Pelodiscus sinensis: one gene and its partners. The protein of the gene in region 3 purifies or fractionates together with the protein of the main gene of each other region. This does not show direct contact. Links are inferred from orthologs where the notes say so. Each region holds a gene or a part of one and is shown on either strand. Other genes may lie near its edges.

Evidence for each region.
Region 1: the proteins of KEAP1 (region 3) and TSC22D4 purify together in Homo sapiens (affinity purification with mass spectrometry; 4 studies listed by BioGRID and IntAct, counting the BioPlex papers as one, with this or other methods). This does not show direct contact. The link is inferred for Pelodiscus sinensis from reciprocal best matches to the Homo sapiens genes KEAP1 and TSC22D4.
Region 2: the proteins of KEAP1 (region 3) and NIBAN2 purify together in Homo sapiens (affinity purification with mass spectrometry; 3 studies listed by BioGRID and IntAct, with this or other methods). This does not show direct contact. The link is inferred for Pelodiscus sinensis from reciprocal best matches to the Homo sapiens genes KEAP1 and NIBAN2.
Region 4: the proteins of KEAP1 (region 3) and MAP1LC3A purify together in Homo sapiens (affinity purification with mass spectrometry; 3 studies listed by BioGRID and IntAct, with this or other methods). This does not show direct contact. The link is inferred for Pelodiscus sinensis from reciprocal best matches to the Homo sapiens genes KEAP1 and MAP1LC3A.

Annotation. Positions count from the first base shown.
Region 1 is NC_134734.1:8,743,738-8,751,685, reverse strand, and holds the start of TSC22D4 (TSC22 domain family protein 4), read right to left. Parts: upstream 3,005-7,948; 5' UTR 2,520-3,004; coding exon 1,941-2,519; intron 878-1,940; coding exon 723-877; intron 1-722.
Region 2 is NC_134732.1:4,580,191-4,587,777, forward strand, and holds the start of NIBAN2 (protein Niban 2), read right to left. Parts: upstream 3,005-7,587; 5' UTR 2,519-3,004; coding exon 2,464-2,518; intron 1-2,463. UniProt on the Homo sapiens protein: May play a role in apoptosis suppression. May promote melanoma cell invasion in vitro.
Region 3 is NW_027465991.1:323,326-331,188, reverse strand, and holds the start of KEAP1 (kelch-like ECH-associated protein 1), read left to right. Parts: upstream 1-4,854; 5' UTR 4,855-4,893; coding exon 4,894-5,010; intron 5,011-7,469; coding exon 7,470-7,863. UniProt on the Homo sapiens protein: Substrate-specific adapter of a BCR (BTB-CUL3-RBX1) E3 ubiquitin ligase complex that regulates the response to oxidative stress by targeting NFE2L2/NRF2 for ubiquitination.
Region 4 is NC_134728.1:35,700,636-35,708,380, reverse strand, and holds the start of MAP1LC3A (microtubule-associated protein 1 light chain 3 alpha), read right to left. Parts: upstream 3,005-7,745; 5' UTR 2,869-3,004; coding exon 2,829-2,868; intron 1-2,828. UniProt on the Homo sapiens protein: Ubiquitin-like modifier involved in formation of autophagosomal vacuoles (autophagosomes). While LC3s are involved in elongation of the phagophore membrane, the GABARAP/GATE-16 subfamily is essential for a later stage in autophagosome maturation.

The DNA of each region.
Region 1 (7,948 bases), on a different chromosome or scaffold from region 3:
CAGGCATGATTTTAGTTAGTCAGATGTCCTCTTATGCGTGTGGCCAAGTTTCCCACAGTCCCATACAGTTTATTTACAGCCACCAGTCCTGGCTCTCTGTGTTCGGTGCTGTTATTTAGTTCTAATTTGCCTCTAAATATCTTCTAAGAGCCCAGTAAGCAGGGGAAGTGTTGGTGATGCTGCTAGATAATATTGACCTCCTATTGTTTGGAAAATTCTCTGGTTCGGCACCAGTCAGGTCCCAAAAGTGCAGGACTAGAGAGGTTCAACCTGTAGTTTGTTATTGTAGAGTCTACTAGAAGGAACGTGGCAATGGTTTGCTATTGGAGTATTTCTATGATTTACACAAGCACACACACACACAGGCCTGCCGCCAGCCTGGCCCATTGCCAGGATCCCTCCCTGTTCCTCCCCCCAGGCCTGTGGGCCCCACACCATCCCCTCTCCCACTGCCAGGATCCTGCCCCCAACTTCCCCAGTGCAGGCAATACAACTGAGTCACATCCGCTGCCAGCCATTCAAATGCAACTTCCCCTCCCCCAGCTTCCTTCCTCTTCTACTGCTTGCATCTCCCTCTGTCCCATTCAGTCCCCGCATACTGCTCCACCACATGGCAGCCCCTTCACCAATCGTCCCAGCACTCCCCCTCCCCCGACCATTCACTGGCAAAACAGGAAGTCCCACCCTCCACCAGGCACACTGGGCAGGAAGTCCCACCTCACCTGTCATCATCGCTGTCCTGGTGTCCCCCCATGGCAAACATAGATCGGGCCAGGCTGAGACGTGCACCAAAAGGGTCCGACGCTTTTCGAACAGGGCTCCCTTCCCGAAACAAGGGGAGGGCTGGGGAGGAGGGGCGGGAGCTTCGCAGTGGAACCTGTAGAGGAGACATCATAATGGAGAGAGGCCAATGAACAAGGTGGAGCAGAAGGGACCCAGGCATCCTCCCTTGCCCCCACATGCTTCAGTGGATGCTGCCAATGGCTCCGCATCCCAAGGACAGCATTGGGCAGCTGCAATGGGGCCTGAATGCCTGGGTTCCTTCCATTCTTTCCCTGCCCACCAGAGCCTGGGGGGCAGTGGGCAGATGAAAATCACCCCTTTTCCGTCATGGTGATGAGAAAGGAGGAGGCAGCCGGGGAGGTGTCAGGGCCCAGAACCTGACCCCCCTTCCCTGGACCATACATCCTGCTGAAGGAATGTCTCTCTGGGACAAAAGGTTAGATTCATGAGATATCTGTGGGTCTGCCTCTACTTTGTGGGGCTGAACTGGCTAGGGGTTCCTCCATCAGACCCATGGCCCAGTCGGCCTGAACCCACCTCCAATGCCAGATGCTTTCAGAGGAAATTTCTGCAATGCACCTCACTATATCACAGCACAGGAGAAGGTGGCCCTCAAACCTTACCCCATTAACTTCCATTACCCCCAGCCGAACTGTCAGCCCAGCCAGCATCCAGTGGTGGGGAGTTCTGCAGGCTGATGCAGCCCCAAGTGGTAGGAGGTCATTGGAATCAGGGTGATTGCAGGTCCAAAGGGAAGAGATGGAGCCAGGTGTGCAAGGAGCTGTCCCACCACTGCTATCTCCTCCCTCTCCAGCCACCACCCGTTTACTACCCCATGCGCACCAACAACCCTCCACCTCCTCACCAAATGCTTGTCAATCCCCCTACCCTCTGGGGAGGGTATCCTAGTGGAGACCCCACCTATCTGGTGCAGGGGAGACATGGCTCCTAATATGGTTCAGAATTAACCCACAGGACTACCTACTGCAGGATTTCCACTGGGGATCTGATCGGCGAGGGGCAGGTAGAGTCAAGACTGGACTAGCCCACAGGCTGATGCAAAGGGCCAGATACAAGGTTAGATGGGCCTGTGGGGTGGCTTTCTACCACGTGGGTCTCCGTGGTCCCATGAAACCCAGGCATCTGGCCCCCTTTACCTTGTGCCTCTCCTCCACCTCCCTCCGGATGCGCTGGGCGAGGCTCTGGGGCAGCAGCAGCTCTTCCACCCCCACGCCCGATTCCCCAGGCTCAGCACTGGCCCCATCACTCTGAGCTCTGCCCCCTGGAGTTCTCTCCCCACCTCCCAGCGAGCGGGGCAGGTGCTCGCCAGGCAGCGTGGGCCAGGCTGTGCCCTGGGAGTGGCCATGTCCGCCCCAACGCGCCAGCGGGGGGCTGAAGTAGCCATGGGGCTTGGGGGCCAACCCAGCAAGCTCCAGGCGGGAGTCAAGAGACTGCGGGTGCCGGGCAGCGGCCAGGAGCCGCCCCACCACCTGGTGCTCCGGGTCCCGGTCGTAGAAATCCAGGCAGGTCCAGCGTCCCCGTTTATATGGCTCCCCAAGGCCCTGGTCCAGCTTCACCACCCGGAAGCGGGAGGCAGCGGTGCTGCCGGGTGGCACCGAGGGCCCGTTTCTGGGCACGGTTGCATCCTCTGGCAGCTCCATGGCGGGTGGCGCCTCCTGCTGTTCGTACTCAGTGGTGATGCTGGTGATCTGGAAACTGCTCTTCTTTCTGCTCATGGTCCTGCTCCCGCGCCAGCTCAGCGGGGCCTAGGCAGCACCGGGCCAGCACCAGGCTCTCGGGGCGGTGACATGCCTGCGGGCAGCTGGGCAAAGGGGGCACCACCAGGGGCAGGCAGGGCAGCCCCTGGGGTGCTAGCTCGCCTGGAGGTCAAGGGTCCTGGGGCAGGTTACAGGTCATGAGGAGCACACTCCCAGGAAGGGGGGCGGTTTGGGGGGGGGCTGCTGGCATCCCCGCCCCTAGGCCCCCACCGTGCTGGGGGCAGCACTGGAAAGTTCCCTTAAGTTGGGCGCGTGCTGGGGGCAGGGGGGGCTGCAAGGTGCCCGGGGGTGGAGGGCGCACTTTTCCGGCAGGGGGTCTGGATTCTCTCTTCTGTGCCCGGGGAGCACCCCCCGCCCCAACTCCGGCCAGCGCCGCCGCCTGTTGACAAGTCCCCGCTCCAGGAAGTCCGGCCCCCGCCCCGACCAGCTGACTGCTCCCCCCCCCCGCCCCGTTAACCCCTTCCTGCTGCAGCGCCCCATTCCCGCCCCGCCCCTTCCTTTCCTTTCTCTTCCCTTCAGTGCTGCAGCGCCCCGGCCTGCCCGCCCCGCGGCAAGCGTCCCGCTGCATCTCCCCGCCCCCAGCACCGCCTCGGCCTGCCCCCTCTCCCCGCCCCTTTAACACTCTCCCTGCCGCAACCCCCACCCCGTTACCCCTTCCCTGCTGCAGCCCCCCCGCCCCATTAGCCCCTTCACTGCCACAACCCCTGTAACAAAGTGGAGATTGTAGTCACCCGATTGCTTTGTTGCACGTGATTTCTACTGTGCTGTACTAAGCCCTCGTGTGCCTCAGTTTCTCTGGGCACTACACCAATATCTAGACGATGGGAATTTCGGTGACAGCCTCCCCCACGAACACAATAGCTGATACTTTCTGCAACCTGAGCCTGGGACGGGGGTGTGACCAGGTCACGCCCTTTGTCCGAAGAAGCCGACCAAAAGCTGGAGGCGCGTCAGACTACAGGGCTGATACAGGCTGCTGAGGGTGTGAGCGAGTCTCGCTGGCTTGGGGTGCTAGGAAGGGAATGGGAGCCCTTGGCTCTGAGCCTCCTCTCCCCAGATGGATGGTGCTGGCTGCTTCTGGTTCCTGTGCTGACAAGTCTGTTCTGTGCTGTGTCCCTGTCACCTAATAAATCTTCTCTTCTACCTGCCATCTGAGTCACATCTGGCTGTGGATGGGGGTGCAGGGCCTGGTGGTTCCCTTCCCCTCGATAACAGCCCTGGCCCCGTTAACCCCTTCCCTGCCACTGCCCTGCTAACCCCTTCCCTCCTGCATTTTGCCTGGCCCCTTAACACAAGAACTTATCCCTGCAACAAACCCTGTTGCCAACTCTGTCCATACATCTACACAAATGTGCCAAAGGTTAAATGGACTCAAATGGATCACAAAGCAAGGTAACATACAAAAACCCTTAGAATATGTTAATCTCCCTGGATGCTCAGTAACAGATTTAAAAGTAGCATCCTTCTACCAAAAAAACTGCAGAAGCAGACTACAAAGAGAAACAGCACAGCTGCAAAATTCATTTGCAAATGTAAGGATCAAATTAGAAGTGAATAAGGACTTAGAATGGTTCTCCTACTACAAAGGCAATTTTCTCCCTCCATATTCACAGCTTCCCCATCAGCTGCTGGGACTGAGCACATCAACCCAGACTGAACTGGCCTCTTTAACACTGGTCTTACACTTGATAACGAAGGATGAGTCTACACTGTACAGTTATTCCAAAATAAGCAGGTTGTGTAGAGTACCCAAACTCCCTTCTTTTGATGTGCTAGTTCATCTGTATATATCCCTGCCTCTATTTTTCCATTCTATGCACCTCATGAAGTGGGCTCTACCCATGAAAGCTGATGCCCACATAAATCTGTTAGTACTTAAGGTACCACAGGACTCTGCCTTGTTTTTACACACATACACCAGCAGGAAATTGTCACAAGCTTGAAAGATGCTGCTTCCTCCTGCTGGTGAATGAGGGGAAAGCACCTCCCCTCCATGCCACTGGCCATGCCAAGCCCACCTAGATTCTAGGAGACAGAAACTTACTCAGGTAAGGGGACCTTATGCAACTGGCCATCCCACCCCAGAGGTGGCTGCATCCCAACACCAGGCAAGAGGTCCTTGTGAAATCAGCCACCCCACCCCAGAGGTGGCTGCATCTTAGCGCTGGGCGAGGAGTTCCTGTGTAATAGGCCACCCCACACAAGAGTTGGCCCCCTGGTAACCATCTGTTATGCCCTAGAAGTGGCTGCCTCTCACCACCATGGAGGTGTCCCTGTGTAACAGGCTGCCCCACTCCAGAGGTAGCCACATCTCAGTCCCAAGCAAAGTGGCCATGTGTAACCCCCTCCTCTGCCCCAGAAGTGGCAACATCTCAGTGCTGGGAGAGTTGTTCCTGTGTAACCGGCCACCCCACTCATGAGGTGACTGCATCTCAGTGCTAAATGAGAGGTTACTGTGTAACTGACAGAAAAGAGGAGACTAAGGTGGGATATGATAGAGATTTATAAAATCCACTGGTGTGAAGAAAGTGAATAAGGAAAAGTTATCTACTTGTTCTCACAACATGAGACTGAATGAGGGGTCACCAAATGAAATTAATAGGTAGCAGGTTTAAAACAAACAAAAGGAAGTATTTCTTCACACAACACATAGTCAATCTGTGGAACTCCTTGCCACTGGATGTTGTGAAGCTCAGGACTTTAACAGGGATCAGAAAAGAGTCAGATAAAATCATGGAGCATACTTATTAGCCAGTGTCCCTAGCCTCTATTTGCCAGAAGCTGGGAATGGGCAACAAGGGCTGAATCACTTGATGATTCCCTGTTCTATTCATTCCCTCTGGGGCACCTGCCACTGGCCACTATTGGAAGATATGATCCTGGGCTAGATGGACCTTTGGTCTGACCCAGTCTGACCATTCTTATGACAGTTCCATCCCACAGGTGGCCACATCTCAGCCCCAGATAACCAGCCACCCCCACATCTCAGGCTACTTTTAGACTACAATGTTTTATTAGAAAAGGGTATGCAAATTGCACTCTGCAATTTGCATACCTTTTTCTGATAGTTTTGTTGGAAGAGGCTTTTCCAAAATTTGGCCCATCCACAGTGGGCCAAATTTCAGAAAAACCTATTTTGGAAGAGCCCATAGAATGAGGAAGACAGGGCTTCTGAAAGAGTGTATGTGCTCTTCTGAAAAAAAAAAAGCGGAAGAGCAGACACATTCCCTGGATGCAGCAGAGTTTTTCCAGGATATCACGGAAAACCCACGTCGCCTAGACGGAACCTCAGTGCCTGACAAGATATTCCTGTGTAAACGACTTCCCAGCACTAAGATGCCACATCTCAGCTCCAACCGGGAGGTTCTCTTGTAACCAGATGCCCCACCCCACAGGTGGCCATGTATAAGTGCCAGGCCAGGTGTCCCTGTGTAACCATCCCTCCCGCCCCACAAGTAACTGCATCTCAGTGCTGGGGGAGGGGTCCCTATGTGACCAACCACCCACTCCAGAGAGGGCCACATTCCAGCTCCAGGCGAGGGGTCCCCTTGTGCCCCAGAGGTGGCTGCATCTCAGCCCTGGGTGAGGGTTCCCTGTGTAACCAGCTGTCCTGCCCCATCTGTGGCCACATCTCAGCCTAGGCGAGTTGTCCCTCTGGGTATATCTACACTACATGGCTCCATCAACGGAGCCATGTAGTGTAGACATACCCTCTGTGACCAAACACAGACCTTCAGAGGTGGCTGTATCTCAGCTCCAGGTGAAGGGTCCTGGTGAAACTGGCCACTCCCCATGCCCAGAGGTGGCTGTATCTCAGTATTTGGTGGTGGGTGCTGTAAGAGCTGTTACAGCAACACAGGGTGTGGTCTCCTGCCCTGCTTGGTCTTTGACTCTGGAAAAATAGGGTTCATGGTCCAGGAAACAGGGACACATGATGCCCCCCTCGCAGGCCAGTTCGCAGGCTCTGGGGATTCCTGGGATGATCAAATACAGTTCTCCGCCTATTGTGGGGTGGCAGTGAAGGGCAGCAGCTGGGTGGGGAGGGTGCAAGTCGGGAAGAGCACTGGGGGTGGGGGATCTGTGAGTCAGGAGTGAAGGGCACCAGTGGAGGAGCTGTGGGGGGAGTGAGGGGCACCAATGGAGGTGCTGTGGGTGTGGGAGTAAAGGGCACTGGTGGGGCGTGCTGTGGAGGGAGTGATGGGATACTGGTACGGGGATGTGGAGGGCATCAATTGGAGATTGCAAGGGGGAGTGAGGGATACTGGTATGAGGGCTGCAGTTGGGGGGAGTGAAGGGCATTGGTGAGAGGGTTTTGGGGGGGAGTGAGAGGCACTGGTGGGGGAGCTGCAGGGGGAGTGAGTGGCACTGGGGAGGATGCGGGGGGGAGTGAGGGGCACTGGTGTGTGGGGTGCGAGAGGAGTGAGGGGCACTGGTGAGGGGCTGCAGGGGGAGTGAGAGGCAGTGGTGTGTGGAGTGCGGGGGGAGTGAAGGGCACGAGCGTGTGGGGGGAGTGAGGGGCACTGGAGTGTGGGGTGCGGGGGGAGTGAGGGGCGCGGGGCGGTGCGGGGGGGAATGAGGGGCACTGGTGAGGGGCTGCCGGGGGGGAGTGAGAGGGACTGGTGTGAGGGGCACGGGGCGGGGCGGGGTGGGGGGAATGGGGGCACTGGTGAGGGGCTGCAGGGGGAGTGAGGGGCACTGATGGGTGGGGTGCGGGGGGGAGTGAGGGGCACTGATGAGGAGCTGCAGGGGGAATGAGGGGTACTGGTGTGGGGGTGCGGAGGGAGTAAGGGGCACTGGAGGGTGGGGTGCGGGGAGAGTGGGGGCACGGGGCGGTGCGGGGGGGAGTGAGGGGCACTGGTAAGGGGCTGCGGGGGGAGTGAGCGGCACTGGTGGGTGGGGCGTGGGGGGAGTGAAGGGCACGGGGGTGCGGAGGGAGTGAGGGGCACTGGTGGGGGACTGTGGGGACAGTGAGGGGCACCGCCGTCTCTCTCCCCGGCCTCCCCCCCCCACGTTTCTCCATCCCCGGCTGCGGGGGGGCGGAGGGAGGCGCCGCGGGTTGGACGCTGCGTCAGCGGCAGCGGGATGGGGCGAGCGGAGCCGCGGGAGCCGAGCCGGGCAGGTACCGGAGCGTGCGGGGCTAGGCAGGGGTTGGGGGATGTGTGGGGCAGGGAAGTGAGCTGGGTGGGAGATGTAGGGGGCTGGGTAGGGGGCTGGAGAATGTGGGGGGCAGGGGAGGGGTCTGGGTGGGGGATGTAGAGGGCTGGGGGATGTGGGAGGCAGAGAAGGGAGCTGGGTGGGAGATGTAGGGGGCTGGGCAGGGGCTGGGGCATGTGGGGGACAGGGAAGGGGGTTGGGTGGGAGGATGTGGGGGCTGAGATGGGTGTGGG
Region 2 (7,587 bases), on a different chromosome or scaffold from region 3:
GATTTGGGGTGGAGACCCTCAGGCCCGGGGGCTGGCTGTGGCCCCCCCACTTGCCTGAATCCAGCCCCCAAGGTTCAGGGCTCCCCCCAGCATTGGGGAGCCCGTGCTGGCGCTCCAGCCCCACCCACCACCCAACCAAAATCTACTAGACTGGGCCCCCCCCAGGCTCTGGTGTGCCAGGGGAATGTGGGGAGCATTTTTCTCCCCACTCAGGAGCCACGTCAGTGAGGGTTTTTTGGGCAGGGGATTTCTCATTTGCATGTGGAACCCAATTGATTTTTCTGTGGGTCCATGGTCCCTGCCCCCCAAAAAAGTTCCCTGCCCTGATTTAGGAGCTGAAACACACACTTGAAATTGGAGCACATTTTAACAGTGTCCATTTAAAAAAAAGGGGGGGGGGAAGAGGTAAAGGGAAGCCAGATCATCTGCTTTCCTACAAAGAGACCAGGCTAATAAAATCAACTTCCCTCACTCCTTGCTTTTAACAAGCTAAAGCCCCATTTGTTATAGTCTCCCTTTAAATAGTGTTTGGCCCACATAAAACTTCATGATTCACAGAGATGAATAGGAAGCTTGACAATACTTTACAGTAAGTGACAAGTCATAATTTCTCTGGTATTCAGCAACGCAACACCATTAGTCACGTTGTGAGCCTCTGATAGTAACACAGCTGCAACGCACTGTTCCTCTGGCATTTTAACTGTAGCTTTGGATGAAGTGACCACTCCATTAGAAATGGGGGGGGAGGGGGAAGGCAGGCCATAGTTTTCCTCCAGGGAGTGAGGTGGCCTAGTCACCTCTGACTCGGTTTGGAGTTTCCAAGGTATTTTGGTTCTCCGATGGGAGAAGCTGGTTAGGTCCTGTGCCATCGTAGCCGCGTCTCCAAGTGCAACTTGATTTGTGAAGTCCGGGGGTCCAGTTTAAGCACTTAACTATTACGGCTCACAGCGCCTCCAAGAAGCCTCTGTTGTCACTGTAATTGAAGCCTACGAAAGGCAGGGACAGAGGTCAAGTCCTGCAACTCAGAGGCCTTTGGGGGCTCCAATGTCGACCTCATAAATTATGAGGCGTCCCAAGAAAAGAGGGCGACACAGAGGCCAAGTCACACTGCTCAGTGGCAGGCTGACCCCACTTACAAAGGTCAATCAAGTAACTGCAGGCACCAATTAGTCCCCCAGCCTCTGCGCAGTCAGATGCCATCTCCACGGACAAAAAAGCAACTGTACAGAAGCCACAATCCCGTGCTTAGACAGGCCACTCCAAGCCGGGCTAACCAGAAACCCTGATGCCCAAGTCCAAGAGGAATCTTTAAGTCAGACACATCAGACTGAGAGACCTACAACATCAAGAGTAAACGCAGGGCAATCAATAGCTGCATTGTCACTTCTCTAGACTCCAAGGCCCGACATTTCAGGAATAGGAGTTCAGCGGGCGGTAGCACTTTGCCCAGCTCCCTACTCAAAAATCCATTCACTACCAAAGTTATCAGAAAGGAGACACAACAGATATTAAAGCCAATAACTATGCTTGATCTTTGTCAACAAAAGCCAAGACGCAATACAGGGCAGCTGCAGCCTGGTCTGCACAAGAGGCAAACCCATTGCTGGCCTAGGTCCAGAGGCCAGATCTGCAATCCTAGCCACACCGGCAGCCCTCTGTGCCCAGCAGTGTTTCATGTAAGCTCTCCCCCTCAGAGATTCAAATGCCACCTAGCTGATTAGCAGAGCTCAAACAGCCTCCAGAGCAACATATGTTTCTAATGGTGGTACACATCCACACGTGCCTCAGTGCACATAACAAAATTCATTCTGCACATGGGGAAAACCCACAGGATTGGGACCCAAGAGGTCTCCCCTTCAACCAATGGCGAACATGGCTTAAGGGCTGGTGGAGGGAACAACACTTCTCCACATCAGCCTCCCAGAGAGCTGTTCCCCTTCCTTCCCCCTGCCCACAGAAGCCCTGGCCACACCAGGGCTGTTCGCCTGAAGCAAATCCCTTCTTCCTGCAGCCAACGCAAACAGCCACCGCACAAGTCAAGCCTTTCAGAGGGGAGGCAGACACTTCTTTGCCCCGCTCCCCCTTCCGAGCCAGGCTGCTTCCAGCTCTGCGGAGGAGAGCCCCGGAGCTGCAACGTGGAACTTTTCAAAAAAAGTTTTAAGGCGTTAAAACAGGCGCCCCTAGCAGGGAGGGGAAGGAACCCCAGGCGGAGAGGGGGCTACACCGGGGTGCTGCTTGGGGGGAGGAGGGATTCCTCCTGCCCCCCGCTCACCGACACACGCTTGGGAACGGCCCCAAACAAACATCCTGCTACTTGGGGGGGGGGGAAGCAAAAACAACGGAGAAAGTTTCCTCCAGCCACGGCCAGCTCCTTCCCACGCACGCCGCCTTCCACAGCGCAGCCAGCGCCGGGAAGGGGGCCCCCTCCAGCCGGCTGGGAACGGCCCGGCCCCGGCCCCTTACCTGAGATGTAGAGGCGCCTGCTCTCGTCCAGGTGCGTGGAGATGACAGCGCCCATGGCGGCCGGGGCGCGATGCTCACGGGGAGGGAAGCGCAGCGGGGGGCGCGCACCCCCAGGCGGCTTGCGAGTCCCACGGGGGTCTCCGGGCCGGGCCACCAGTCCGCTGCGCTCGGCTACCGCCGCTCCATGGGCAGGGAACCAGCCTCGCTCCTCCCAGCCGAGGGAAGCCCTGGGCGGGCTGCAGCCGAGACACTCCTGCCTACGTCCTCCCCCCGCCCCGGGCCACACCCTGCGCGCAGCTCCGGGGCCTGGGCGCGGGGTCCTTGCCGGACCGCGAGTTCCTGCTTCCCGCGCGGGTGGGGGCTTGTAAAACACCGTCCCGGGCCGCTTCTCAGAGGCCTTCTCCGGCGAGGGTTTGGGAGTGTCACGGGAAAGCCTCCCCCTTATCGAATGACTGCCCAGGCCTTTGCTAACCACTAGCCCACCTGGCCCCCCGCCCACGTGGGACCGCTAGGAACCTGCAGCCCCCGGGGAGGCCTTTGTCGGGGAAGCTGATTCCTCCCTGCAACTAAACAGGGCTTTTCTCTTGCACCCAGGGGCCTCCCTGCCCCTCCAGCTGCTCAAGGGATCTTCCGGCTCCTGCTTGGCACTTGGCTTGATTTCTGACATTGCCTCACCTGGGATTGCAACATTTACCCAGGCTTGTATAATTCCCCCCTCCCCCAACTGTGCCCAGCCATAAACCACAGCCTGGACTCTTTCCTCGCGCCAAGGTGCATCTGGTACTCACCAAGGCTACGTCTACACTGGCATGATTTTCCGGAAATGCTTTTAACGGAAAAGTTTTCCGTTAAAAGCATTTTTGGAACAGAGCATCTAGATTGGCACAGACGCTTTTCCGCAAAAGCACTTTTTGTGGAAAAGCATCCGTGGCCAATCTAGACGCGCTTTTCCGCAATAAAGCCCCGATCACCATTTTCGCGATCGGGGCTTTTTTGCAGAAAAGAAATCTCAGCTGTCTACACTGGCCCTTTTGCGCAAAAGGGACTTTTGCCCGAACGGGAGCAGCATAGTATTTCTGCAAAAAGCACTGATTTCTTACAGTAGGAAGTCAGTGCCTTTGCGGAAATTCAAGCGGCCAGTGTAGACAGCTGTCAAGTTTTTTCCGGAAAAGCGGCTGATTTTCTGGAAAAACTGGCCAGTCTAGACACAGCCACCATGGGTAACATTGGACATCGCAGCAGGGTGTGGGTTTGCTTTGCTACAAACCCTCCTCCTTCCCTGCTTTTCCCCACGGTCTAGCCTGTCTGAGCCTCTGCTGCTTGGCCCCTTTCCGGCTTAGTACAGCAAATGCAGGACTTAAACCAAATACCCCTCTCCGCTGACTTGGGCAGTGCCCAGGAATGGGCTCTCCACCCACAGAGCCATTCACTGCCCCTGTCCCAACTCCTGCATCTCCACTCCGACCCAGAGGCAGCCTAGGGGCCCGAGGGTTGGCCCGGCCTGGGGAAATCGGTGTCGCACCAGTGCAAACCCTCCCATGCAGACACACTGCACTGGGCTGTCCCACTGCAGTGGGCTCCGCACTGGGCTTCTGTAATGGGGGCAGGGCTTCGATTTCTGTCCAGGGCCCTTTGCTGAGGGTGCGCTGATGTGCTCTTAAGGGAGCTGGGTCCCCAGGAGAAGCCAGATTTCACCCCAGGCTGCAGTTCTGGGGCCGTACTGGGCTCAGGCCTGGCCCCGTGCAGTGTCCCCCTCTTGCAGGAGGACAGACCTGACACAATGGCCATGTGACCATCCCTCCGGGGAGCCCTTGGCGCAGAGAGACGCAGGGGCCCTGCCCAGGAGTGGAGGTGGTGGGAGTGTGGCCAAGGAGCTTGGCCTTGGCTGCTGGAAGGGCCTGCAGGGAGCTCTTGCTTCTCACCAGCCAGAAGGCAGAGCAACCTTGCGGCTGCTCTAGCTAGTTGAGGGCCTGCTCCAGACTGCAGGATGTCACGCACAGACCTTTGCCTCCCTGGGCTGGGTTCAAGGGCTCGGCCTCTCACAGGTATTTGGGTCCCTACGTCCTGCTGAAATTGGTGGGTGTTAGGATCCGGCCAGTGAGTCTGAGTTTATATGGGAGTGAGTCGGGCTCAAGGACAAAGCTGTGAGGCCTGAATTTTTCCTGGGGGTACTGCTTGCCTCCGGAGGCAAGGGGAGTGTTTCTGGCCCAGCGTGACTGCTCTGTGTACAAAACGTCCTGTTTATCCCCTCTGACACCGCTTTTCTTGGCACACCGAGCTCGGCAAAATTCCTCAGGCGTCTGCGAACACCCTGGCAGGGCTGGAGGGAGCTGGAGAACGAGCCCGGCTGCCTGCCCCACATTCATATCCAGTGGGGATGGTGCCTGGGGTCACCACCTCTCTGCGCTGGGAACAGGGCTGCCCAAACCCAAGTGTTCTCGCAGCCGGGGCCCGGGTAAACAGCACCCGCCCAAAACACACAGTGCGGAGAGTGTGCGCGCGCATTGTGCAATGCAGGGCTGCAGACCTGCCCGGCCTGTGCTAAAACACGCCACCCTGGGCGGGGAGGGCGAAGCCCTGCAAGGAGGCAGAGCCGGCCGGTCGGCTGCTTCTGGGAAACCTGCTGGTTTGGTCTGGGAAATCTGCAGCAGAGCAGTCGGCTCCATGACATACGGCTGGGCACTTCCTACATGGGGATTCAGTCTGGACCCGATACCCTGCCCCCGCCCGCCTTTAGGAGCCATTGCCCCTGTGTGAAATAAGGTAGCTGAGAACCGAAGGGGGGGGGGCTGTTCCCCCTGCTGCATATTTACCATCCCTCCAGAGAACTGGGGCTAGAGGTGTGACACATGGGGGTCACAGCCACCGGCCACCAAACCTCTGGCTCTCAGTGGGAGAGGGGAAATGGATGAGCGGGTTCTGGCCACTTGTGGCAGCCGCTATCCTGGCCCAGCAGTGCGCAGAGAGGGGACCTGCAGGGCTGGAGAAGTAGCCCAGCTGCCCACCCCACACTCACGCCCAGTGGGTCCGGTGCATGGGGTCACACAGTGCTACTCAGGTGTGCCCCTGGATGGAGTGAGGAGGCAGGCCCAGCCCTGAGGGACAGGAACTGCCGTTGCTGGGGGCTCGCTCTCTGGCCCCGTGTGAAAAGGCACCTCACGTGCTGAAGGTCGCTGTGGGGAGCAGCCCCCTTCCCCTGTTAGCGCCGCTGCTGTGTGAGTCTCCAAGCCTTGAGCGAAACGACAGCTCTGCAGGCCGAGCTGGGCGATGGCTCTGCCAGCCACCACTAGAGGGCGCCTGCACCAGTGGGCGTGGCTTACAGATGCAAAAGACTCCACCCGCCACCACCCGTCCAGGGATGCCCCGCCGCTGGGGCCATCTGGGAGCTGGCCTACCAGAAAGGGGTGAGTGGCCAAGGGACCTCACAATCCAGCCTCACACTCGCCACTGACTTAGTCTTCAGTGTTGAGTGCTGCAGAAGCCCATGGCCCAATGGCCTTGGAGACGGAGCCTCGTTCTCCCTCAAGCGCGGCTCCGTGGGGGGAGTTGGCCCTGCCACACAGGCGTGGGACTGCAGACTCCACCACCGTCCAGCCCACGCCCACTAGCAGATTTATTAAGCTCTCTAGGTGGTCTCACCGCTAGAGAGCAACACAGCCTCACCCTCTTAGTCTCGTCTTTCTGGCCCTTCCTTAGCAATGGTTGTTAGACACCCACCCACCCTGGCCTGCTGCCTGGTCTGATGAGGCTGCGTTTTCCAGGTCATGTTTCCAAATCAAGCATCCTCTCTCTCTGCAGCGGCTGGTCAGTGACCCAGCTGCCACTGGCATGCTGCTGATGACTCAGGATCACAGGGGAGTGAAGCAGCTCTGGCATTGTTCAAATGCCCCCTGCCATCACCAGCCCTGCTCCTCCTGACAGAAGGTTGCAAAGGACAGAATTTCCAGCTGAGCCCTTTTGTCAGCCTGGCTCTGACTGTGGTGGGTGCTTAGCAGAGCTGCGGGGAAGCCAGAATTTCTATTTGGGGAGGGGCAAGGGGAAATCCTGTGACTGCAACATTTCTTTGTGCTGAATCTGAATAAAAACAACGGATTTAGACATTTCCACTAACAAAACTTCCAAAACACCCTTCATTTTGTGCCAAAGAAATGGGTTCTACATACACAAATAAAATCAAAACATTCTGTTTTATTGTTCACATTTACAATGTTCTATCATATAAAATAATTTGCAAAAAATGAAGCGTCATCCCAAAAAACAAAACCACTAAAAGCAGAACTCTCCTCTCCAAAAAAGTGGCCAAGCCAAAAATTTCATCCTGGTCAAAATGCTGATTTGGAAAAAAAACAGAAAACAAGCATGTTCTCGTGGGCTGTTGAAAAAACAGCGTTTTCTGATGGAAAAACATTCCGTCTGAACATTTTCAACCAGCTCTCGTCTAGTACTCAGTCCTTGGAAATCTGGCCCTGAATTCTTACGAAAACCTCGTCCCAAAGGCCTAAGAATTTGCTTACGACTGTATATTGGGCAATCACAATTCATGTCAGGATCACAAAGGTCAGCACATTTTTGTTAAGCTTTTCGTAGGTGAGAAAGGGTTCCGTCGGTCAGTGATCAGTCAAGATGCACAAATGCCAAACCAAGCGTATATCAAGCTCTTTGGATCTTCCTAATTCTAGGTCCCCTTCTTCTCCATTTCCTTCTGTTTTACCCCCACTCATTGCAGCATGTGTGAAATTAATGAAGTTTATTGAAAATTAGTTGTTTTTCCGATAGGATTTTTTTAATCCATTTTTATTAAAAATGTGGATTTTCATTTCCCCCCCTTTTCTCTCCCATTTTTCTTCCTTCCTCCTTAAGTTTTTCCAAATAAAAACGTTTCAATTTGGAATAAAAAATGTCCTTTTCCAACCACTGGTCCGACTGGGAATTAGCTCTGTCCTCAGCAGGGCGCCCCCTTCTGGCCATGGCTGCTCCACTCTCTCCTTGATCCACACCACTTCCAAGACCACAGCATCCTCTTCAGGACACTGCTGTCCGGCAGCACCCACCACACTGGTCTCCACCCCCTTCTGGCGGTAGCAGCAGTCCACAGCCTCGCGCCTGCCACTGTGGCCAACATAA
Region 3 (7,863 bases):
TTCCCTGCTTTCCCGACAGGAACTAACTCACTCTCCTCCAGCCCCGCCCCCCAGCCAGGGCCGCATCCACCTTCCTTTGTTCCTCTCCATGGGGGTCAGCTGGCCAAACCAGTTGGGATACCCTCTTTGCATAGTGACTCATCGCTTGCCTGCTCAGTGGTGCTATAGACAGCAGCCAGAGAGTTAGCAGGTTACCCCCCACTACGTCACACCGAGCTCTTCCCGCGTCTGGACGTTCGCCCTGGCCAGCCAGGCCTCGCCGTGCCTCTTGCCCTCGTAGGCGAAGTGAAGCTTGTTCACGTCCGGGCTCCGCCGGAGGGCCCGGAAGCAGCAGCGGGCGTGAGCCGCAGCCTGGCCGCCGCTTTGAAACGCTCGTAGCCGTTCCCGTGTCCCTCTGGCAGCTCAGTGGCGAATTGTGCGGAGACTCCGCTGGGCTGCGGCCGCAGCTCCACCAGGTCCTGGCCTTTGGGGACGCCGTACCCAAGGCAGCTCCTTTCGAAATCCACCAAGATCTCCAGGTCGTCTCTGGCCCGATTCGCGGGGTATCTCCTGGGCCAGGGAGCCGGGGGCTGAGTGGGGGCAGCTGGCGCCGCCGGATTCTCCGCCTGCTCCAGCTCCCAGCGCCTCAGCTTTTCCTTCTCTGCCTCAAGCTTTAAGCGCGCCACCTGCAGGAAGAACTTCATCTCCTTCGGCAGAGCCCCCTGGGTGTCTGCGGCACGGCCGGGACTGGGCCATCACCCTCTGCTCCTGCCCCCGGGGACCTTCTCCTGTTCCTCAGTCCTGCTCTGGGCATCCGGGGCTGCTCCGCCCTTGGTGCGCCGCTTTGGGGGGTTAGTTGCTCGAGGGCTGCTCTGCCCCCCGGAAACACACGTGCTGGGCGCTTGCCTGCCCCACGCCGGCCGAGCTGTCCAGTTGCAACCTGTAAAAAACCCAAGCGAAGTGGTTTGGTTTGGATGCGCTGGCTTTGCCGGCTGAGCCTTTAGCGCGTCTTCTCCCGCCTCAGGCAGCAAAAGGGAAAACCCCCAAACAGCGGGGGGGGGGGTCCCGAGGTCTGTGACCTGCTTGAAAATCCCACCAGCATGCCAAGGCTGCCCTCCACGCTGCCACTGTGTGTGGAGAAGGGGGGGGCCTGCAAAGGACCTTAACGTTTTCTGCTGAAAAACCTCCCTGAAGTCACAGATTCCCGGGGCCTGTTGCTGCCACCCCCCAAATGCAAAAGCCCCTTTGAGAACCCAGGAAGATACACTTGGAAATTTCTTCCTGTGGGGCTCATTGAGCTCTTGGAGCCTGAAACCCCCTATAATTGTCCTTAATGCGGGGGGGGGGGGAACCTTTTCTAGGTCAGTGACCCACAGAAAAATCAGTCAGGCCCAGGCTTGTAGATTTTGTGCGCTCCAGCCCCACAGGGGGGAACGGGGCAAGGGGGCCGCCCCGAGCCTCCAGGGCTGGATCCGGGCAAGCCTTAGGCCCCCCCCACCCCATAGCTGACCTTTCAGTCACAGATCCGCCGGCCTTCTAGGGCGCAGGAATCAGCCCCCGGCGTTAAAACGGGGATTTCAGGATCAAATGAAAGACGCTCCTTGGTCGCGGGGCGTTAGAGCAGCCAGAACCAAACCAGAGTCACGCCCCCGACTTGCTTCCCTGGGACTTGGCTTGGAGAGTTCGAGCAGAGCGGGGGTCCAGGGAGTGGACCCAGAGAGACCCAGCAGAGCCCACCATAAAAACAACCTGATGGCGTCCGACTGGCTCGTCCCTGCTCTACTCGCTGCCTGGTGCTTAGAGACTCAGCCCTTCCCTAGACCCGGATGTCTCTGGATCCGGCTCCCTGGCTTGGCCCCTGGCCCAGCTCTGCTTACACAGACTGGACCAGGTCGCTGCTTCCCATTCAAAAACCTGCGCTCTGCTCCCATTGGTTGGCCGGCTTCCTGCTTCCCGGTGTCCCAGAGCCTCTCTAGGCCCCGCTCTCTGTGGTTTGAACCCTCCAGGCAATTCCATGAACAGGAGGGCCGAAAGGGCCCCTCCCGGCCAACACCTTCTGCCCCACGTCAGGCCTCCCTCTGCCCTGGCAGTGTTCAAACCTTCCGGGAAAAGCCAGACACAGGTGCTGAGCTCTGGGGTTCCTGCCCTCCGGCCTTGCTCCTGCAACAAGGGAGTTTTTCCTGTTCCCACGGGGGTGGGGGGGCAGCGGGTCCTTGGGCATCCCAGCGGCTGGGGGTGAGGCACGGTCCCAGGCATTAGCAGGCGCTCTGGGGTGCCGACAGCAGGGGGCCGCAGCTGGAACCCCCGTACTCCAGAGGCTCCAGGCCAGAGGGGCGCAGCTGCTGCAGCCACCTGGCGGCTGGGACAGGTGCTCACGGGGTTGCCCCTGGGGATTAGCAGAGGTGCCCTGGGGGGCTCCCAGGTGATTTCTAGCACAGAGACCTTCTCAGCGGCAAGTGTGAAAATCCAAGTCACGTGCCTTCTGCGTCACCCAGCCAGAAAGCATCGCATGGAACCCTGGCTCCCGGCGACCCCCTCCCCTCCCAGAGCTGGGCGAGAACCCAGGAGTCCTGCGTCCCAGCAAAGCACCAGGCCCGGCGAGTGGGACCCAGCTGAGAGGCGCTGGAAGGGGGGACTAGGGAGGGGAGATTGGGAGAGCTACATTCGCGCACTTGGAGCCAGGCGGCAGCTGGGGGTGGGGCACAAACCACTCAGAGCTGAGAGTTAGAGGGATCCACTTGGGGGGGCTGAAGGGGGGAGCCTGGGGGCAAGCTCAGGGAGACACAGAAGAGCAGAGCCAAGGCAGGGCCTGGAGCTGAGTGCCCTGCCAGTGATTCCCTGGCTCCTGAGCTACACCCCCCCATGCGGGAAACGGCCGCCCAGGGCAGCACTTGGCGCAGGAACCAGGGCTGAGCCCTGTGTGAACACCAAATGTGTCTCCACCTCCGATCCATGATTGTGGGGCCTGACGCCGGGGTGCAAAGACGCCCAGGCAGGAGCCTGGGAAACACCTGGTACGAGTGTTGTACTTAAAAGAAGCACTCGGGATCTTTTTCAGAGGGACAAGGCAACACGCCACATTTACTGATCACACATAGAATAATCAACACTTATCATATGGACATGATACATATATGTCACTCACACACACACACACACACACACACACACACACTCTCCGTCTTGCTGTTGTTACCAACGAGTTGCTCCCCTTAACTTCACTGGCCAGGTGAGTTAGATGGGGGAGGGGTGGAGCCGGGCTTCTGCTGATCCGGATCGATGCTCCGATGGTGACTAGACGAAACCCGGGGTCCTCTGCAAGACACCTCACTTTTATAGCAGCTTCCCTCTTATGCAAATAGATCCCAGATTCAAACTCTGGGTCTGTGTCCCTTGGTCCCTTTGTGGGTGTTGTCTGTTCAGAGAGGGTGTTTTCCAAAGAGGGTGCTTGCTTCTAATCCCCAAGGCGGTGGATATGTCTGCTTGGGTCTGGCTTCCACCCCCTCTTCAACTGGGGTAGCTCTCTGGAGGGGCTGGGCTCCCAAGTCTTACTCATTCACACCTCGTTCATTCAACAGGGCAACTGATTGGGGGGGGGGGGAGTAGGGGGAAAATCTTATTCTACTCCTAGCAAATGACATTTTTACCACTTTAACTGTAGATTCAGTTTTCTACGTCGGGTTCTAATACAAAGTGACACGGTTCTATGGAGAGGCACATGCCAAGTCACATGCCGCAATATACAATACACAGATTTATCTACACGAGTGCCACCTCTGCACCTGTCCCCGAGGGGGGCGCTGTCTCCACTGCAGCCCTGTTGTGATGCAGCCACTTCTGGGGTGGGTGAGGAGACGGTTTTACAGGGATTCCTCGCCCCAGTTGAGATGCAGCTGCCATGGGCCGTGGTGGAAGGGCCCAGATGGCGGAGGGTCGCTCTCAGAACACGCAGCCCCAGGAGCCTCTCTATGGCAGCTCAGTGGAGCAAGCTGGTGCCCACTGGGCCACAAAAGGGGCTGAGACCCTGCAAACTCATTGCACTTGGGCCTCCACACAGAGGCACAGGCCAGTCGCTGCTCCCCAGGGAGTCCTAGGAGCGCCTGGAGGCAGGGCACCTTCCCTGTCCGGTACAAAGTCCCGGAGCCTCTCCGGGCTGGGCAGGCGGAGGGCAAAGGGCAGCAGCCCCCCCTTGTTCTTTCATAGCACCCAGGGCTCCGTGGGCCCTGCCCCAGAGAGCTCAGGCAGCGAGGGGCCCCCAGAACTGAAAGGGACGGGGCAGGCTGAGAGAGGGGCCCCCCCAGAACTGAAAGGGACGGGGCAGGCTGAGAGAGGGGCCCCCCCAGAACTGAAAGGGACGGGGCAGGCTGAGAGAGGGGCCCCCCCAGAACTGAAAGGGACGGGGCAGGCTGAGAGAGGGCCCCCCCTTACTCCAGAGAGGGCCCCCCCAGAACTGAAAGGGACGGGGCAGGCTGAGAGAGGGGCCCCCCCAGAACTGAAAGGGACGGGGCAGGCTGAGAGAGGGGCCCCCCTTACCCCAGAGAGGGCCCCCCCTTACTCCAGAGAGGGCCCCCCCAGAACTGAAAGGGACGGGGCAGGCTGAGAGAGGGCCCCCCCCTTACCTTTGCTCCCCCTGCCCCAGCCTGCTTCCGTCCCAGCCACCCCGCCCCCCTTCTGTGCCTCCCCCAGGCTCTGCCCCTAATCTCCCCCAGTCATCCCGCGCCCCCCATTCATCCTCTGCAGCGCCCCCCCGCGCCCTAATTCTGCCCCCAGGCCGGAGCGGATGCGCCGCTTCCCCGCCGCGTTCTCGAACCCGAACGCTGGGGCCGCCGCGTTCCATCCGGCCGGGGACTGGGGGGGGGGGCGGGTGGAAACCAGGGGACTCTTATTCTGACAGCGGCCGCGCTCTGCTTAGTCATGGTGACTCCCCCCCCGCGCCGCTCCCTCCCCCCAGCCCTGCCTGCGCCATGGAGGAGCCGAGCCGGGCCCAGCCGGGACGAGCGGGCGAACCAGGAGGGCCGGGGCCATGTCTGGGTTAGTGACCCCCCCGGAGAGAGGGGATCCCCGCCCCCCCCCGGGCTTGTGGGGAACCCGCCCCCGGGCTCCGGGGACCTGCTGCACAAGCCCCCCCCCCAGGTGCTCTCACTAGCTGGGCCCTCCCGGAACTGTCAGGGACCCCCCGAAGTGGGGGGTAGGGCCCTGGAGTGGATGAATTGTGGGGGCGCCATTGAGTTGGAAGCGGGAGGAAGGAAAACGGGGGGGGGGGGTTGCGGCCGAGCCCCCCCCCCCCGGCCCATGTGGCGCTTTGTCTGGGTCGCTTTAGTCAGCTGTTTGGGGGCTGGGGTGTATGGGGCGGGGGCGGGGGTTGTGCATGTGTAGCTCTCACGGGGGGTCACTGCCCTAGATCGGGGACCAGTACTCCCCCCCCCCCCCGGCCTTTCTGCTTATCGCTCCACCGGCCTGCCACGAGCCTGGATTGGGGGGTTATTCCTGGATTGGGGTCACCCCCCCCGCACACACGCGTCCGAGGAAGTCCCTGCGTGTGACAGCTGGGGGCGGGGGTGTCGCCGATTCGCTGGCTCTAGCGTCTTGGGGGGGAGCAGGCGGGACCCAGGCTTAGGGGCTGCTGGAACTGAGCTCCCCCTCGTAGGGACCTTGTTTAGAGCCCCCCATGCCCAGCTCCCTTGTCAGGCAGGCGGCGGGGGGGGCAGCGGGCTCTGGTCAATGTTTTCCATTTCTGGCTGCATCCCTGAAATTGCAACACGTCCCCGGATGGGCCACCCACTGGCCTCCTTCACCCCAGCCCCCCCCCCCCTTGGTGGCTGCAGGATGGATAGCTCCCTGGTGAGGGCTGTCCTGGCATCAGGGAGGGGGTGCTCTAGCAGGGCGGGGATACAGAGTCATGTTGTTCCTCGCCCTCCCCAACTTGTAACTTTAGGCAAGCTCCTTCCCCTGGCTGTGCCTCAGTTTCCCCATCTATGCAATGGCATCATGGTACTGTGGTAATTAGGGGGGTGAGGGAGGTGCCCGCTGCCCTCTGCTGAATAGCATCAGAACAGCTCAGCTGTGTCATAGGCCCTGCACTGATAACACCTATGGGGAGTTCCTAGAGAGGGAGCATGAGCCCTGCTGAGCAGGCGGGCGGGGCAGGGTGCTCCCCTGGTCTGTGAGCTGCATGGGGCCCAGGACGCGGAGGCTGGGTGGCAGGACGAGTTCAGGCAGCCGGCAGGGCAGAGCTGGGCTGGGCCAGGGATTTTCTGGATCTGTCCCTGGCCTCCGGGCTCAGGAGCTGCGCTCACAGCAGACGCTGCATGAGCCCAGGTGCCCGCGTGGTGTGGGCACTGGGCTGGGACTCAGGACACCCGGGGTTCCCTCCCTGGTTCCGACACCTGGGGCCGCCAGACTGCGGCCTCTTTGGGGCAGAGACTGGGCGTGCCTGGCCCGGCGGGTGCCCCCCAGCTGTGACCCAGGCCCTATGGCCCTAGGACATGTCTGTTTCTAGGGCAGGGGTCTCCAGCTTTTAAAGCACGAGATCACTTTTAGAATTGAAGTGTAATCCAGGATCCACCTCAAACCCAAACTCCCTGACCCCGCCCCTTTCCCAAGGCCCCGCCCTGCTCCCTCCCCCGTCCTCACTCACTTTTATCAGGCTGGGGGCAGGGATTTGGGGGGCAGGGGTTCAGAGCTGGCTCCAGCTGGGCACTGGGGGGTGGTGCAGGGGGCCAAGGCAGGCTCTCCCCTCCCCTGGCCCTGCACCACTCCCAAAAGCAGCCAGCAAACTCCCTCCAACCCTGCCCCCCTCTGCTCTGTGGAGCTGGGGTACAGGGTGGGGGGAGGGACAGCCTGACATCAGCACCCCCTCCTCTTCCCGTGCCCTGCGCAGTGAGCAGGAGGCTCCCAGGGGTGGGGGCAGCTCCAAGGCAGAGGGCAGGAGCAGCACGGCCGTGCTGGGTGCCGGCACTTGACAGCCTCCCTACCAAACCTCTCAGGATCCAGCGGGGGCCACCTGGGGGATTGTTGGGGGCCGGGGGCCTGCTGGGGGAACGGGGCTGCATGGGGGAGATGCTGGGGGCAGAACAGGGGGCCGCCTGGGGGGCTTGTTGGGGGCTGGGGGGACTGCTGGGGGAACGGGGCTGCATGGGGGGACGCTGGGGACTTGTGGGGGGCTGGCAGGGTTGGGGGGGCTGCACGGAGGGTAGCCGGGGGTGAGCTCTGACCCTGAGGACCCTTTCCCCAACCCCGCTGATTTGAGGCTCAGTCCCCGTGTCCTTGGCTGTGCCTGGCCTCCGCGCTCCAGTCCTTGGCCTACCTCCGAGCGGGGCCCTCGTTAGCAGTGATTCTGCCTCGTTAACGCTGGAGCCAGCCCCCAGGAATGGAGCCGGGGCTGGGGGGGTGGCCCCCCCGGCCTGGCCCGCTGGGGGCTGCGGCAGCCCAGTGGGGAGAGACCCCCGCGCTCCCAGCCGGGCCCCCTCCTAAGCCCGTCTCCCCCGCAGGTGTGGCTTTGCTGCGGTGCCCCCGGGCTCAGTAAGGTGCCCCCCGGCGGCCTAGCCCCTCCCCCCGCGGCGATGTACGCGCCGGAGTGCAAGGCGGAGGTGACGCCGTCGCCTCACGGGCAGGGCACCTTCAGCTACACCCTGGAGGAGCACACCAAGCAGGCCTTCGGCATCATGAACCAGCTGCGGCTCAGCCAGCAGCTCTGCGACGTCACCCTGCGGGTGCGCTACCAGGACGCCCCCCCGGCCGACTTCCAGGCCCACAAGGTGGTGCTGGCCTCCTCCAGCCCCGTCTTCAAGGCCATGTTCACCACGGGGCTGCGGGAGCAGGCCATGGAGGTGGTGCCCATCGAGGGCATCCACCCCAGGGTGATGGAGCGGCTCATCGAGTTCG
Region 4 (7,745 bases), on a different chromosome or scaffold from region 3:
GATACTGGACTTGGGGTGGAAAACTTCTAGTACTTACAGCATGACAAATTACTGTCTATGGAAAAAGGATTAGGAAAAAGAAGCTTCAGATGTTCACAACCCTAGATGAAACTAACTAGTCGCTTCCCCCCACACCTTGCTGCCTCTATCAGAAAGAGAAAGAAGACTAGGGGGTGCTTCAAAGCAGCAGCACCTAGTGGAGCCCGGGGCCAGACCCAGGTCTATCCTGCTGACCCTGGGCTCCATGAGGCACTGCCACTTTAAAATGCTGTGAGGAGCACAGGGCCAATGGGGGACTGCTGGAGTTCCCCCGCTGGCTCCATGCTCCCTGCAGCGCTTTTGCCTTTAAAGTGTCTGTTGCTACACTTCAAAGGCAGAGGCACCCTTATCGATTAATCAATTAGCCAATTAATCCAATGTAACATCCCTAGTTTCATCAGCTTCCACCAATACGCGTTACTAACATTCCAGTCAAATCTTACATGTTTATGGTTATCTGAAGAAGTAGGCTGTGCCCATGAAAACTCACGATATCATCTATATACATGTTTTGTTAGTCTTTAAAGTGTTACCATGCTATTTGTTTTTTAAGTTTATCCTGTACAGACTAACTCGGATACCACTCTGAAGCATGTTTATGGTAGTTTATTGTTCTCTTGACTTCTGCACTGATCCAGCCTTCTTTCAGAGTCTGCCTATCACTATATTTTTAATTTTCTTCCTCCTATAAAATATCTGCACTATCATAGCACCTTCTGTGAATGGTTATGAAATACACTTGTGTTTGAAGCATTATATCTTCTGAACTTCAAAAATATTTTTAGGAAGAACAGTATTTTGAACAAGGAATACTTTGATACCAGAAGGATCTTTAAAAGGAAAGGAATTATTCATCTCACTAGGGTTGAAAGGATGGCACACATACTCAGGTAATAAAGGCTTAATGTATTGTATGGCTGAAAAGTGGCTGATCAATTTCAAAATGCTTTATAAAGAGGAATAAGCAAATTAGTCCTATTTTGCCAACTGGGAAACTGAGGCACTGAAATCACAACAATTTGGTGGTACATGCAAATCTCCTGGGTCCCAATCAGGTGCCTTATCCACTAGAACAATTTAAGGTAGGCCTCTTGCTCATGGTAAGCCACTCACTCACCGGTCCCCAATTAGGGACAAACATGGTAAGGTTTTCAGAAGGACAAAGACCTAAGTTCAAATATATAGGAATACACTAAACAGAGTAAGAACCCCCCCCCCCACCACCACCTTTCCCCTTTTGTGCCAGTTATTTAGAGCAGCATATACTTAAAAATGTATACAATAATCTGTACGATTAATCTGCACATACGATTACTACCACCATATTCACACACAAGGAAGGTGCATGGGTGTAACTGCAAACACAGAGGTCATTTGTTTTTGCAGATACACAGAACTATCATAATTGCACCGAACACATTTCTGCACAAAATGTTTGTAAGTCTAGCTCCCCAAAGCTTGTTTATGTATTAGCAATGGGATTCAAGCCAGAACAACTCCCATAAGCTTAGCAAAAGATGGATCTGAAAATTACAATTCAGACCCATCTTGAAACTAAAGTTTTCCAAGCCTCAATGTGTATTTATTACCTACATTCTTAAGTGCCCATCATCAAAATTCCTGGATTCCAATTATCCATCAGCATTGGGACATACACGGTCATAAATGGAGGCTTATGAAAACTTTACATAAAGCAATTAACTCTCTTCCCCCAAAGCAAAATACTTAAGAAAAATTACTGCTCTGCATTAGTCATTTATCCCCTAGAGGAGAAAACAGGATACAATATAAGCCTATCTTATTAATATTTGCCTAAAAAGGTCATACAAGATCAAAACTATCACTTATTTCTAACAATACGAAACTAAATTACATGAAGTTAAATTAACCTCAGACATAAAACCAAGCATGCCTTCCATTACTATCAATAGACTGTATTTACAGCAGGTTCATTTATAGCACAGATTTCTTTCCTATATTACATGGTGAGCAAAAGAACATACTGCTTCTCACACATTTCACCAATCACGTCAGTGACAACAGACGAGATAGAAATGTAGCCATAGAAATGTAGCCGTGTTAGTCTGGTGTAGCTGAAACAAAAGACAGGGCTATGTAGCACTTTAAAGACTAACAAGATGGTTTATTAGATGATGAGCTTTCGTGGGCCAGACCCACTTCCTCAGATCAAATAGTGGAAGAAAATTGTCACAACCATAGATACCAAAGACTCTCCATGATTTGAAAAGCTTGTCTTACACCTTGACGGACTGCCTGCTGGGATTGAAAGGGAAGCTTTTGGAGGGCATCAGAAATAGACAGGCTAGAATCCTGCCATGTTTGCTTAATCAACCTCTCTCTGGGAGGGGGAGGAGGTGGCTGAGAAAAACACACACATGACTGGACATGTAGCAAGAGTCACGTGCCATCCCAAAGCCGCAGGAGCAGTGCTCCCCACTGACTGTTAAGACCGCTAATTCCCGCCGATGGGTTCTGCAGGCTCCTGGGGCAAACCAGCATTTCCTTTCGCTTGATGCAGGGGTGACATCACCGCGGGGCGGGGCTGCCAATTCCCTCCGGCTCCCCCCGCCCACTCAGCTCCAACCCCAACAAAGCGAGGGGCTCGCCCCGCCCAGCCCCCGCGAGCCACTGGCCGCCACGGGGCGCCCCGCGGGCCTGAGCAGGGGCAGCCTCCCTCAGAGCCCCGGAGCGCGGCGGGCGGGTCCCGCTCAGCGCCCCATGGGGGGGGGGGGGTCGCGCTGCCCCCTCCCGCCGGGCCCCGCACTCACCGAAGCTGCGGCGCTGCTTGAAGGGCCGGTCGGACGGCATGGCTGCGGGGCCGCTCGGACCAGGGGCTCCTGGGGCAGGTGCCCGGGCCGCCCGCTCAGCGCCTCAGCCGCCGTCTGGCGCCCAGGCTCCGGCAGCAACTGCCTGCGGCCAGCGAACGGCGGTGACGTCACCACCCAGCCCTTAAAGGGGAGGTGCAGGGCGCTTTCGGCCGACACCCGTCCGGTGCAGTGTTCCCGCCCCTATTCGTCCCCGCCCCGCCCCCCGGCTTGCCCTCCCCCGCGAGACCCCAGCCTCGGCCCCCCCGCCTCAGACCTCCACTTCCCCCTCCATCGCCCCCCCGCCTCCGACCTCCACTTCCCCCTCCATCCCCCCCCCCGCCTCAGACCTCCACTTCCCCCTCCATCGCCCCCCCGCCTCAGACCTCCACTTCCCCCTCCATCGCCCCCCCGCCTCAGACCTCCACATCCCCCTCCATAGCCCCCCCGCCTCAGACCTCCACTTCCCCCTCCATCCCCCCCGCCTCAGACCTCCACTTCCCCCTCCATCGCCCCCCCCGCCTCAGACCTCCACTTCCCCCTCCATAGCCCCCCCGCCTCAGACCTCCACTTCCCCCTCCATAGCCCCCCCGCCTCAGACCTCCACTTCCCCCTCCATCGCCCCCCCCGCCTCAGACCTCCACTTCCCCCTCCATCCCCCTCCCCCGCCTCAGACCTCCACTTCCCCCTCCATCGTCCCCCCCGCCTCAGACCTCCACTTCCCCCTCCATCCCCCCCCGGCCTCAGACCTCCACTTCCCCCTCCATCGCCCCCCCACCTCAGACCTCCACTTCCCCCTCCATCGCCCCCCCCGCCTCAGACCTCCACTTCCCCCTCCATAGCCCCCCCGCCTCAGACCTCCACTTCCCCCTCCATCCCCCCCCCGCCTCAGACCTCCACTTCCCCCTCCATAGCCCCCCCGCCTCAGACCTCCACTTCCCCCTCCATCCCCCCCGCCTCAGACCTCCACTTCCCCCTCCATAGCCCCCCCCGCCTCAGACCTCCACTTCCCCCTCCATCCCCCCCGCCTCCACTTCCCCCTCCATAGCCCCCCCGCCTCAGACCTCCACTTCCCCCTCCATCCCCCCCGCCTCCACTTCCCCCTCCATAGCCCCCCCCGCCTCAGACCTCCACTTCCCCCTCCATCGCCCCCGCCTCAGACCTCCACTTCCCCCTCCATCGCCCCCGCCTCAGACCTCCACTTCCCCCTCCATCGCCCCCCCGCCTCAGGCCTCCACTTCCCCCTCCATAGCCCCCCCGCCTCCACTTCCCCCTCCATCGCCCCCCCCGCCTCAGACCTCCACTTCCCCCTCCATCGCCCCCGCCTCAGACCTCCACTTCCCCCTCCATCGCCCCCGCCTCAGACCTCCACTTCCCCCTCCATCGCCCCCCCCGCCTCAGACCTCCACTTCCCCCTCCATAGCCCCCCCGCCTCCACTTCCCCCTCCATCGCCCCCCCGCCTCAGACCTCCACTTCCCCCTCCATAGCCCCCCCGCCTCCACTTCCCCCTCCATCGCCCCCCCCGCCTCAGACCTCCACTTCCCCCTCCATCGCCCCCGCCTCAGACCTCCACTTCCCCCTCCATCGCCCCCGCCTCAGACCTCCACTTCCCCCTCCATCGCCCCCCCCCGCCTCAGACCTCCACTTCCCCCTACATCCCCCCCCGGCCGCCTCAGACCTCCACTTCCCCCTCCATCCCCCCCCGCCTCAGACCTCCATTTCCCCCTCCATAGCCCCCCCGCCTCAGGCCTCCACTTCCCCCTCCATAGCCCCCCCGCCTCACACCTCCACTTTCCCCTCCATCCCCCTCCCTGCCTCAGGCCTCCACTTCCCCCTCCATAGCCCCCCCGCCTCAGACCTCCACTTCCCCCTCCATAGCCCCCCCGCCTCAGACCTCCACTTCCCCCTCCATCCCCCCCGCCTCAGACCTCCACTTCCCCCTCCATCCCCCCCGCCTCAGACCTCCACTTCCCCCTCCATAGCCCCCCCGCCTCAGACCTCCACTTCCCCCTCCATAGCCCCCCCGCCTCAGGCCTCCACTTCCCCCTCCATCCCCCCGCCTCAGGCCTCCACTTCCCCCTCCATAGCCCCCCCGCCTCACACCTCCACTTTCCCCTCCATCCCCCTCCCCGCCTCAGGCCTCCACTTCCCCCTCCATAGCCCCCCCGCCTCACACCTCCACTTTCCCCTCCATCCCCCTCCCCGCCTCAGGCCTCCACTTCCCCCTCCATCGCCCCCCCGCCTCAGGCCTCCACTTCCCCCTCCATCGCCCCCCCGCCTCAGACCTCCACTTCCCCCTCCATAGCCCCCCCGCCTCAGACCTCCACTTCCCCCTCCATCGCCCCCCCGCCTCAGACCTCCACTTCCCCCTCCATAGCCCCCCCGCCTCACACCTCCACTTTCCCCTCCATCCCCCTCCCCGCCTCAGGCCTCCACTTCCCCCTCCATCGCCCCCCCGCCTCAGACCTCCACTTCCCCCTCCATAGCCCCCCCGCCTCACACCTCCACTTTCCCCTCCATCCCCCTCCCCGCCTCAGGCCTCCACTTCTCCCTCCATAGCCCCCCCCGCCTCAGACCTCCACTTCCCCCTCCATAGCCCCCCCGCCTCAGACCTCCACTTCCCCCTCCATCCCCCCCGCCTCAGACCTCCACTTCCCCCTCCATAGCCCCCCCGCCTCAGACCTCCACTTCCCCCTCCATCGCCCCCCCGCCTCAGACCTCCACTTCCCCCTCCATAGCCCCCCCCGCCTCAGACCTCCACTTCCCCCTCCATCGCCCCCCCGCCTCAGACCTTCACTTCCCCCTCCATCGCCCCCCCGCCTCAGGCCTCCACTTCCCCCTCCATAGCCCCCCCCGCCTCAGACCTCCACTTCCCCCTCCATAGCCCCCCCGCCTCAGACCTCCACTTCCCCCTCCATAGCCCCCCCGCCTCCACTTCCCCCTCCATCGCCCCCCCGCCTCAGGCCTCCACTTCCCCCTCCATCCCCCTCCCCGCCTCAGACCTCCACTTCCCCCTCCATCGCCCCCCCGCCTCAGACCTCCACTTCCCCCTCCATAGCCCCCCCGCCTCAGACCTCCACTTCCCCCTCCATAGCCCCTCCGCCTCAGACCTCCACTTCCCCCTCCATAGCCCCCCTGCCTCAGACCTCCACTTCCCCCTCCATAGCCCCCCCGCCTCAGACCTCCACTTCCCCCTCCATAGCCCCCCCGCCTCAGACCTCCACTTCCCCCTCCATCCCCCCGCGCCTCAGACCTCCACTTCCCCCTCCATCCCCCCCGCCTCCGACCTCCACTTCCCCCTCCATCGCCCCCCCGCCTCCGACCTCCACTTCCCCCTCCATCGCCCCCCCGCCTCAGACCTCCACTTCCCCCTCCATAGCCCCCCCGCCTCAGACCTCCACTTTCCCCTCCATCCCCCCCGCCTCAGACCTCCACTTCCCCCTCCATCCCCCCCGCCTCAGACCTCCACTTCCCCCTCCATAGCCCCCCCGCCTCAGACCTCCACTTCCCCCTCCATAGCCCCCCCGCCTCACACCTCCACTTCCCCCTCCATAGCCCCCCCGCCTCACACCTCCACTTCCCCCTCCATAGCCCCCCCGCCTCACACCTCCACTTCCCCCTCCATAGCCCCCCCGCCTCAGACCTCCACTTTCCCCTCCATAGCCCCCCGCCTCACACCTCCACTTCCCCCTCCATCGCCCCCCCCGCCTCAGACCTCCACTTTCCCCTCCATAGCCCCACCCGCCTCCACTTCCCCCTCCATCGCCCCCCCGCCTCAGACCTCCACTTCCCCCTCCATAGCCCCCCCGCCTCAGACCTCCACTTCCCCCTCCATCGCCCCCACCGCCTCAGGCCTCCACTTCCCCCTCCATAGCCCCCCCGCCTCAGACCTCCACTTCCCCCTCCATAGCCCCCCCGCCTCAGACCTCCACTTCCCCCTCCATCCCCCCGCCTCAGACCTCCACTTCCCCCTCCATTGCCCCCCCGCCTCAGACCTCCACTTCCCCCTCCATCCCCCCGCCTCAGACCTCCACTTCCCCCTCCATAGCCCCCCCGCCTCAGACCTCCACTTCCCCCTCCATCCCCCCGCCTCAGACCTCCACTTCCCCCTCCATAGCCCCCCCGCCTCAGACCTCCACTTCCCCCTCCATCCCCCCCGCCTCAGACCTCCACTTCCCCCTCCATCCCCCCCCGCCTCAGACCTCCACTTCCCCCTCCATAGCCCCCCCGCCTCAGACCTCCACTTCCCCCTCCATCCCCCCCGCCTCAGACCTCCACTTCCCCCTCCATCCCCCCCCGCCTCAGACCTCCACTTCCCCCTCCATCCCCCCCCGCCTCAGACCTCCACTTCCCCCTCCATAGCCCCCCCGCCTCAGACCTCCACTTCCCCCTCCATCCCCCCGCCTCAGACCTCCACTTCCCCCTCCATCGCCCCCCCCGCCTCAGACCTCCACTTCCCCCTCCATCCCCCCCCGCCTCAGACCTCCACTTCCCCCTCCATCGCCCCCCCGCCTCAGGCCTCCACTTCCCCCTCCATAGCCCCCCCCCCCGCCTCAGGCCTCCACTTCCCCCTCCATAGCCCCCCCCGCCTCAGGCCTCCACTTCCCCCTCCATAGCCCCCCCCACCTCAGGCCTCCACTTCCCCCTCCATCCCCCCCGCCTCAGGCCTCCACTTCCCCCTCCATCCCCCCCGCCTCAGACCTCCACTTCCCCCTCCATAGCCCCCCCGCCTCAGACCTCCACTTCCCCCTCCATCGCCCCCCCCGCCTCCGACCTCCACTTCCCCCTCCATCCCCCCCCCCGCCTCAGACCTCCACTTCCCCCTCCATCGCCCCCCCGCCTCCGACCTCCACTTCCCCCTCCATCGCCCCCCCCCGCCT